2 linked regions of the Macaca mulatta genome follow. The protein of the gene in region 1 purifies or fractionates together with the protein of each later gene. This does not show direct contact. Links are inferred from orthologs where the notes say so. Each region holds a gene or a part of one and is shown on either strand. Other genes may lie near its edges. The genes, in order: CUL2 and COPS8.

Region 1 (3,822 bases):
GGCATTGGCACAAGGACAGACAGATATCACAATAAAATAAGAGACCCCAGAACAACCCATGCATATGTGGCCACTTGATGTAAGGCCAAGGTGGCGCTGCAGAGCAGCAGGTAGAAGATGGTGTTTTCAGCACACATTGCTCAGTCAATTGGATGTCCATTTCGGAAGAAAATGAAATTTGATCACTACGTCAGATACCATATACAAAATCCATTCACTAGAGTTTTTATCTAAATGTACAAGGTAAAAAAAATAACACTTTTAGAAGATAATATCGGAGAATATCTTCATAACCTTGAGATAGGGAAAGATATTTTAAATAGGACACAAAAAGCCCTAACCACAAAGGAACAATTGATCCAGTGAACTACATTAAAATGAAAAACTTTGGATTATTAAAAGGCCATTAAGAGGGAGGAAGATTGCTTGAGCTCAGGAGTTCAAGACCAGCCTGGGCAACATGACAATATCCCATCTCTGCAAAAAAATACAAGCATTAGCCAGGTGGGGTGGTGTGCACCTGTGGTCCCATCTACTTGGGAGGCTGAGGTGGGAGGATCACTCATGCCTGGAAGGTGGTGGTTGCAGTGAGCCGAGATCCTGCCAGAGCACTCCAGCCTGGGTGACAGAGTGAGACCCTGTCTCAAAAAAAAAAAAAAAAAAAAAAAGCCATGAAAACCACTGGATCATCAGAAGACACTTATAGGGTAATGTAGCTGCAATAGCAAAGATTTATATCCAAAATATAAAATGGCCAAAAAACAGACACTGCAGAATAGAAGATACCCAGATGGCCAATAAACATAAAAAGAAATGTGAAGCAGCAGGAGCTTTTCGAACACTGAAGTGAGAGTATAAATTGATGCAACTACTTTGGGAAACTGGCATTGACCGCTAAGTGGGATATATTATGCATATTTTATGATCCAGCAGTTCTACTCCTAAACGTATAACCACCCCACCGTACCTTCTGACCGCCAGTGCCTGGACATATGTACAAAAAGACTTACAGGAATGTTCATATTATTAGTATTTGTAATAGCTCCGTAAACTGGAACGGCTCAAATGTCCAGTAACTGTAGAATAGTACAGTATATTCATACAATGGAATATTATAAAGGAGTGGAAATGAACAAATTAAAGCCAGGTACAACAACATAGATGATCCTTATACACATTTTGTTGAACACAAGAAGCCAGTTGTGAAAGAATTGTGTGATCCCATTTTTATATATAGTTCAAACTCATCTGTGATTTAGAAGTCACAGCAGTGGTTACCTTTGCAGAGGAGCAAGAGTGTGTGATTGGAAGGAGGCATGAAGGGGACTCCTGGGTGTAGGTAATGCCTATTTCTTATCCTGCGTGTGATTACATAGGTGTGTTGTGTGTTCACTTGTAATAATTCAGTAAGATACACACTTATGGTTTGTATACTTTTCTCTGTATGTATGATGCTTTAATAAAACATTTAAAATAAAACCTACTACACTGAGAGATCATTATTTACCTCCCAGTGTTAGAGATCAAAATGTTTGGTAACACATTGTTGGCAAAGGAACTCTCTGCTGTTGGCAGCTGTGGTTAGAAGGATCTGTCTACAAGATTAAACTTTGACACAGTAACCTCACTTTTTTGGGAATTTATATTGCATATATTCTTGCTCATGTATAAGATTATTGATTGTAACATTGCAATATCAAGAGACTGGAAACCACCTAAATTTCCATTAGTTGTTAAGAAATTATAATATATCCACATAATGGAGTACTGTGCAGCTGTAAAATACATAGAAATGCTTTGTGTACTGATAGGAAAAGACTACTAAGTTAAAATGTGTTCTGAAGCTACAAATAATATACAAAATACAGTACACTGTATTAAAAGGGGCAAAGGGAAGAATATATGTATTCACTTGAATTTGCACAAGATATCTTTGGGAAGATGTTAAATAACCACATCCCTTTCCTGTGGGGAGAGGGGCTTGGGTGGCTGGGAGGTGGGCATGGGGGGCTTTTCTCTGGGTACTCTGCACTTGGATTGTATTCCTGCACTTGGATCCATATATTACCTAATAAATGAAAATATTTAGGAGTTAATCCTCAGATGTCTTTTTCCTCTCAGACATGGCAAATATGTACGTCTTACTCCGTGCTGTGTCCACTGGTTTACCTCATATGATTCAGGAGCTACAAAACCACATCCATGATGAGGGCCTTCGAGCAACCAGCAACCTTACTCAGGAAAATGTGAGTTGTGTGGGGAACTGCAGTGTTTTCCTCCTAATCAGATCCATCGTGGAGTCTTTCCTTTGACTTTACTATTTTGAAAGATGAAAGAAAAAGTCTTACCATGCCAACAAAAGAAATGTCTTTATTCAAATGTTTTAAACCTAGAGCTTGTTGGACTCATTTTGGAATTATCAAATTATTAGAAAGCTATTGATGAGATAGGCTGCTGCTTAGCCATACGGAGGTGTCCATTGAACAGTTGTTAACTTTTCACAGAAAAATAAGCTTGCCATTTCTAAGTAACTGTGTTTTTCTGTAATTGGCGTTGATAACATTGTTTGTTGTCATGGTAGTAGTATTAATCAGCGGTAATATAGACAACTTGTAATTTTCCTCCTTTCCATATTCTGTGAATTTGGTTGTCTAGTAAGCAAATTTAGATTCAAATAATCTTCTGTAAGTATATGCTTGCTGCCCCAAATACCGGAAACAATAACCCTCGTGTCCCTAATACTCATCTTCCTTGAGTACTTTACCAATCACATGACTGTAACAGTTTGTCTTTCCTATCACCAAATCTTGTTATTACTGGTGACGGTTGATGAGCAAGAGAGACGTAACTTCAACTGTTACTATCTCTTCTTAAGTAGAGCTGTTTGACTTAATCTGTAAGGTAGTATCTGTCACGCCTGTAATCCCAGCACTTTGGGAGGCCGAGGCGGGCGGATCACGAGGTCAGGAGATGGAGACCATCCTGGCTAACACGGTGAAACCCCATCTCTACTAAAAATACAAAAAATTAGCCGGGCATGTTGGCGGGCGCCTGTAGTCCCAGCTACTCAGGCGGCTGAGGCGGGAGAATGGCGTGAACCCGGGAGGCGGAGCTTACAGTGAGCCAAGATCACACCACTGCACTCCAGCCTGGGTGACTGCACAAGACTCCGTCTCAAAAAAAAAAAAAAAAAGATAGTATCTGTGTGTATGTGTGTAGCCGTCACTGTTCAGGAGCACTTTTTAGAGGCTGTTACCTTAGCGACAGATTGGTCTTTGGCAAGTAATAATTTTTAGTTTTTATGTTCTGCCACAATCATGTGTAAGTTTACTATTTTTTAATTTCTTCAAATTCCTTTTACCACAGTTTTCTATTTTTGTAGAACTATTAGTTTGTATTATGCAGATTTATTACTCTGTATTATTTGTCAAACTTACTAGTTTATGTTATTACGTTTATAGATTCCATGTCCAATGACATGGGGCATAGAAGCATAGAATTTTGTGTCAAGGCTGGGAGATGGAAACATAAGTGAATACATTTGTAGTAGACTCAAATCCAGCTGACTTAGTTAAGTCTTAGGTAGTAATTTCTTCATGGTTATCTCCATTAAGAGGGAAAACTCACTTTTGCACTATTAGGTATTTCTTCTCTCTGAGATGTGAGGGATTGTCTTGCTGAGTTCAAGGGGTCTCTGTTCTCAGGGTTACTGGCTTTTTAACTCTCCTCTCTCTCAGCCTTCAGTGACTTTGCAGGCAGTCTTTGCTTATATAAGCCTCTATGAAAGTGATAGACCTGGTAATTCAGGTCTTGTTATCCTTA
Region 2 (4,367 bases), on another chromosome or scaffold:
CTGTTTAACTAGGGAAGCTGCACATAGAATTGTCTCAAGAAATCTAATCAGTAGGAACTGGGCACAAATTCTACATCATCCCAGCAAAATTCAAATTTCTGACTAGAGGACTCTGAAGATTTATTTTGAAACCTTAATACTAGTTTGATGACTATTTCTAGGACGTCAGACAGAAAACAGAAATTTATAAAAGGTTGCCATTTAAGGGAATGTCATTACATTAAAGCAGTAAGGCAGGTTTAAAGGATACTTACAGATTTTATAGCAGGTGGTATTCTTTTCCAAAGATATCTTGCATTATTCCTAATTTACGCCACCACAAAGAAGAATAATCAATTAAAAACATAATCATCTCCGTAAATGTTAAAAACTATCAGGTCCCAAGGCAAACATTCAGAAGTATACTTTACATAACACAAAGTAAAATTTAGTGTTATATGAATTTGTTTTGGGGAAACAATAGTAGTTTTCCAGATAAAAAGGACATGAAATATTTTTACCAAAGTAATATTCTGCCATTTCTACTGAACTTTTTAAAAATAATAATCCATATCCTAAATTAAGGCAACAGCACACTAAAAACACAAGGACGTATAGAACAGCCCAAATGATTTATTCGGATACAAAAGTAAACAAATTTATGTACTATGAAGGCTCCAGCATTCCCTGACAATAAGCCTGGTACACAACACTTCTCTCCCTGTCACAGTCCCTCCTACCAGTGGGTACAGAGCTTCTGAGGCAGGAGTTTGTATGGGTTTGGAGGCTTGAACTATGACAAACATATAATGATAGTTTTACAAAAAATAAAAAACCAAACGTACATGTGTAATAAAAATTTCAATTTAGTTTTTAAAAAGATATAAAAGAAAGGTTTTGGAACAATTTAAAATAAAATTTTATCAGGAATGATCAGTGAGTCTACAGGAGAACTATAGGAGATTTTTTTTTTTTTTTTTTTTTTTGCACAGTTACGCTTTCTTTTTGAGACAGGGTCTCACTCTGGCTGCCCAGGCTGCAGTGCAGTGGCGCAATATCGGCTCACTGCAGCCTCGACTTTCTGGGCTCTGGTAATTCTCCCCACCTCAGCCTCCTGGGTAGCTGGGATTAGAGGCATGCGCAACCACATCCAGCTAATTTTTTGTATTTTTAGAGCAGATAGGGTTTCACTATAATCCCCAGGCTGGTCTCAAACTCCTGGACTCAAGCCATCCACTTGCCTCAGTCTCCCAGAGTGCTGGGATTACAGGTGTGTGTCACCACGCCTGGCCTAGCATAGTTATGCTTTCTGACTTTTCCATGTGAACGTGAAATAGGAATAATTAAAAATTTAAAAAAACTTTCAAATCTCATACATGTTTGTAATGAATCTCTTGGCTGCAATCTTCTCTTTCCACTTCTTTTGTTTTATTAATATGAAGTAAATAAAGATCATAAAAGTATTTTAAAAAGACAAAGATTAAATGAATTTACTGACATAGTTTCTCATAATAAATTGAAATGTTTTCTAGAAAGTATATATAAGACAATGACGACCTAATCATAATTCATTAAGCTATGATTCAATAGGAAATAGATGTAATAGTTATTATAATAAAAGAGGTAGCTCGTTGTGCCTATGTTTGGTGGTGCTACTTCAGGGCAGAAATATTTCCATGTAACTTTTGAGAAACCTGCTGCTCTTGGCTTTAGGTTAAACGTACTTACATGTCATTATGGAGCAAATATAAAGCTAGAAGCTGACCATACACTGGGGGTGTAGCAATTCCTCCAGGGGCCTAGAAGGCCAAAAATGAAAACAAAACAAAACAACACAAAATTTAAAAAACCTCATTTACCCTTTAACTTTCATTTTTGAAATAATATTTTATAAATGCTAATTAAAAAGTAAGCCTTTTTAGTCTAAGATTATAAATAATCTTATAGTCCTAGTATAGATTTAGAAACAGCTTAGAGAAGTATTAAACACGAAAATCCTAAGTATTAAGTTTATATTCGTCATCAGCTTTGATTTATCTCCCTTTGGGCCTCAGTTTCTCTATACATTCAAGAATATGTAAGAGGATCCCCTTCCCCAGTTCTCAAATTCCCATTTAAATGATCTTACTAGTATAAGAAACAATTTCGACAGATTCCTGAAGCATTCTGATTCTGCCCATTACATCAAGCGTCCTGAATAAGAGACAGAAAATCACCACAGCTGCGTTGCAAAGACAATTCTTTCAATTTTAACTCAATTGGGAAGTGTCTATTGTCTATTAGTGAGCTGCTTCTTCTGGATGTTGTCTCCTTTAGTTAATTTTAAAACTAATGATATAAACGCTTTTAAGTGTCTAAAAAAAACGTTAACTTTAACAGCTGCATAACTTTCACTTGTCTTACTAAAGACAAAATGGCAAGCTTACTTGACAACATTACGAGAAAGGCTCTGTGAGTTAAGAAAAGGTTACAATGGTCACATCTTTCTTGGTGTGTGTGTGCGCTTTGGGGTGTGTGTGTTGGTGTGTGTGTATATACCAAGATCTTTAATAAAATCCACATTACTACTCTCTCCCAACCCGATACTGGGAATGAAAGATGTCTAATTAATATGAGCTTATCGATAGGTGCTGGAGCAAAGATGCACAGGGTTTTCGGGATCACAAGCTGAAGACATATAACAAAAAGGTCCCGGTGACTTAGGGGAGACCGGGCCTGGTCGCAGCAGGCCGCGACGGTCAGGGCTCCACACGTCCACCTCCCGCGCCCGCCCCGCGAGCTCCCAAAGCCCGCGAGCCTCAGACCCCGTTACCCTGGAAACTGGTGCCGCCCCGGGGCCTAAGACTACTCCGCAGTTTCTCCCAGGGAACGCAAAGGGCTACCTCGAGCTCCTGGTTCTCGCACTGATCCAGCAACTTTTTGAAACTGAAGGCACTTTCCGCCATCACCGCCACTGGCATCTTCCCGGCCGGTCTCGCCGCCGCACCTTCCGGACAGCCAAACCCCAGACCGTCCCTCGGGCGTCGCGCCCGCGATGACGTTTAAAGCCGCCGTTGCCGCCGAGCGCCCCTGCGTACCAGATCGTCAGTTCCGGGGCGCCGTCAGACATTGCCGCGGCCGGGATAGGGCGCCGCCGTTCTGGCCGGCTCTCTCGGTGCCCTGGAGGACCTGGCCGGCTTGGCTGGAAGCTGTGCTCAGAGCGCACGGCCGCCCCCTGGCAGGGAGGAGTTCGTTGCACTTTTGAGGGTTCTTCACGAAGACATCCAATATATAGAAAACAACAGCAACAGTAGCGCATTTTTAAATATTAAAATTGCTGGGGAACACGACGGATCCTGCAGCTGCTCGGCTGTCCTGGTCAAGTCGGCGACCCTAGGGCTCCGCTCCGTGCCCTGCATACCGTAGGCGCTCACGAAACGTTCGTGAGTTCCCCGCTTTGAGGAGACAAGCTTAAAAACTCGGAATGTAAGGTTCGAGTCTCCCCAAACCTGCTTGTTGGGTAGCGTCTCCCGCCCGGGCCCGCCCCGCACACCCCCCACTCCGGAACCACGCTTCTGCAGCCGGGACCCCTGCCTCCTTCCGGGCTATTCTCGGAACCGCAGCCAGAGGGAATTTTTTTTTCTTTCCTGAAACGTAGAGCAGATCTGGTTACTCTTATGCACAACGCCCTAAAATCCAGGGCCCTTCCCGTCGCTCAGAATTTACGGCTAATTCTCAGCTCTCCCCCGGCTTGCTGTAGCCATCCTGGCCTCTTCAGTTTTAGTTTCGCACAGCACTGATTGTTAGCGAACATTATATATTGCATATTATTTATTAACATACTTGTTTTTTACATCCCTCACTAGACCCCCAGGAAAGAGGCTTTGATTGTTCCCTGCTGCAAGGCTGGCTGCATAATTTGTGGGTCTCAGAGAAAAAGTGCAGAGCTTCCTTATTCAAAAAACAGAAGGAAAGTGACTTTAAGGTCATAAAATATAAAACTTTCTCATTCCTCTCAGTTTCTCTCTTTTCATAGTGTTCTTATGGGTTATTTAATATCATTCCAAGAAAAATTTAGATTTAAATTGTTAGCATGAAGTTTACCATTCATCTTTACGTTGTGCAATGCCAGTTTTAAATACTAATATAAGTGCACTGAACTCATATGTGGAATCACAGAAATGATACAATTTGTACTTCATAGCTTATACATGCGTATGTATTTTGTTTTTACCAGAACCACGCTGCACAAAGTGAACTTACCTGTTTTCATCGCACTTTATATGCACGAATTCTACCTCCACTCTCGACCTGGGACTCACTCCTGAGTAAGGAAGGACTGAAAGGCAAAAGGACCATGGACTGGCCTTTTGGCATAATCAGGTGTTTAATATAAAGAAGTGCACGAA

The links.
Region 2: the proteins of CUL2 (region 1) and COPS8 purify together in Homo sapiens (affinity purification with mass spectrometry; 4 studies listed by BioGRID and IntAct, counting the BioPlex papers as one, with this or other methods). This does not show direct contact. The link is inferred for Macaca mulatta from reciprocal best matches to the Homo sapiens genes CUL2 and COPS8.

What each region holds. Positions count from the first base shown.
Region 1 is NC_133414.1:36,434,908-36,438,729, reverse strand, and holds part of CUL2 (cullin-2), read left to right. Parts: intron 1-2,121; coding exon 2,122-2,246; intron 2,247-3,822.
Region 2 is NC_133417.1:142,320,167-142,324,533, reverse strand, and holds the start of COPS8 (COP9 signalosome complex subunit 8), read right to left. Parts: upstream 3,023-4,367; 5' UTR 2,940-3,022; coding exon 2,862-2,939; intron 2,173-2,861; exon of another isoform or gene 2,108-2,172; intron 1,779-2,107; coding exon 1,708-1,778; intron 304-1,707; coding exon 255-303; intron 1-254. UniProt on the Homo sapiens protein: Component of the COP9 signalosome complex (CSN), a complex involved in various cellular and developmental processes.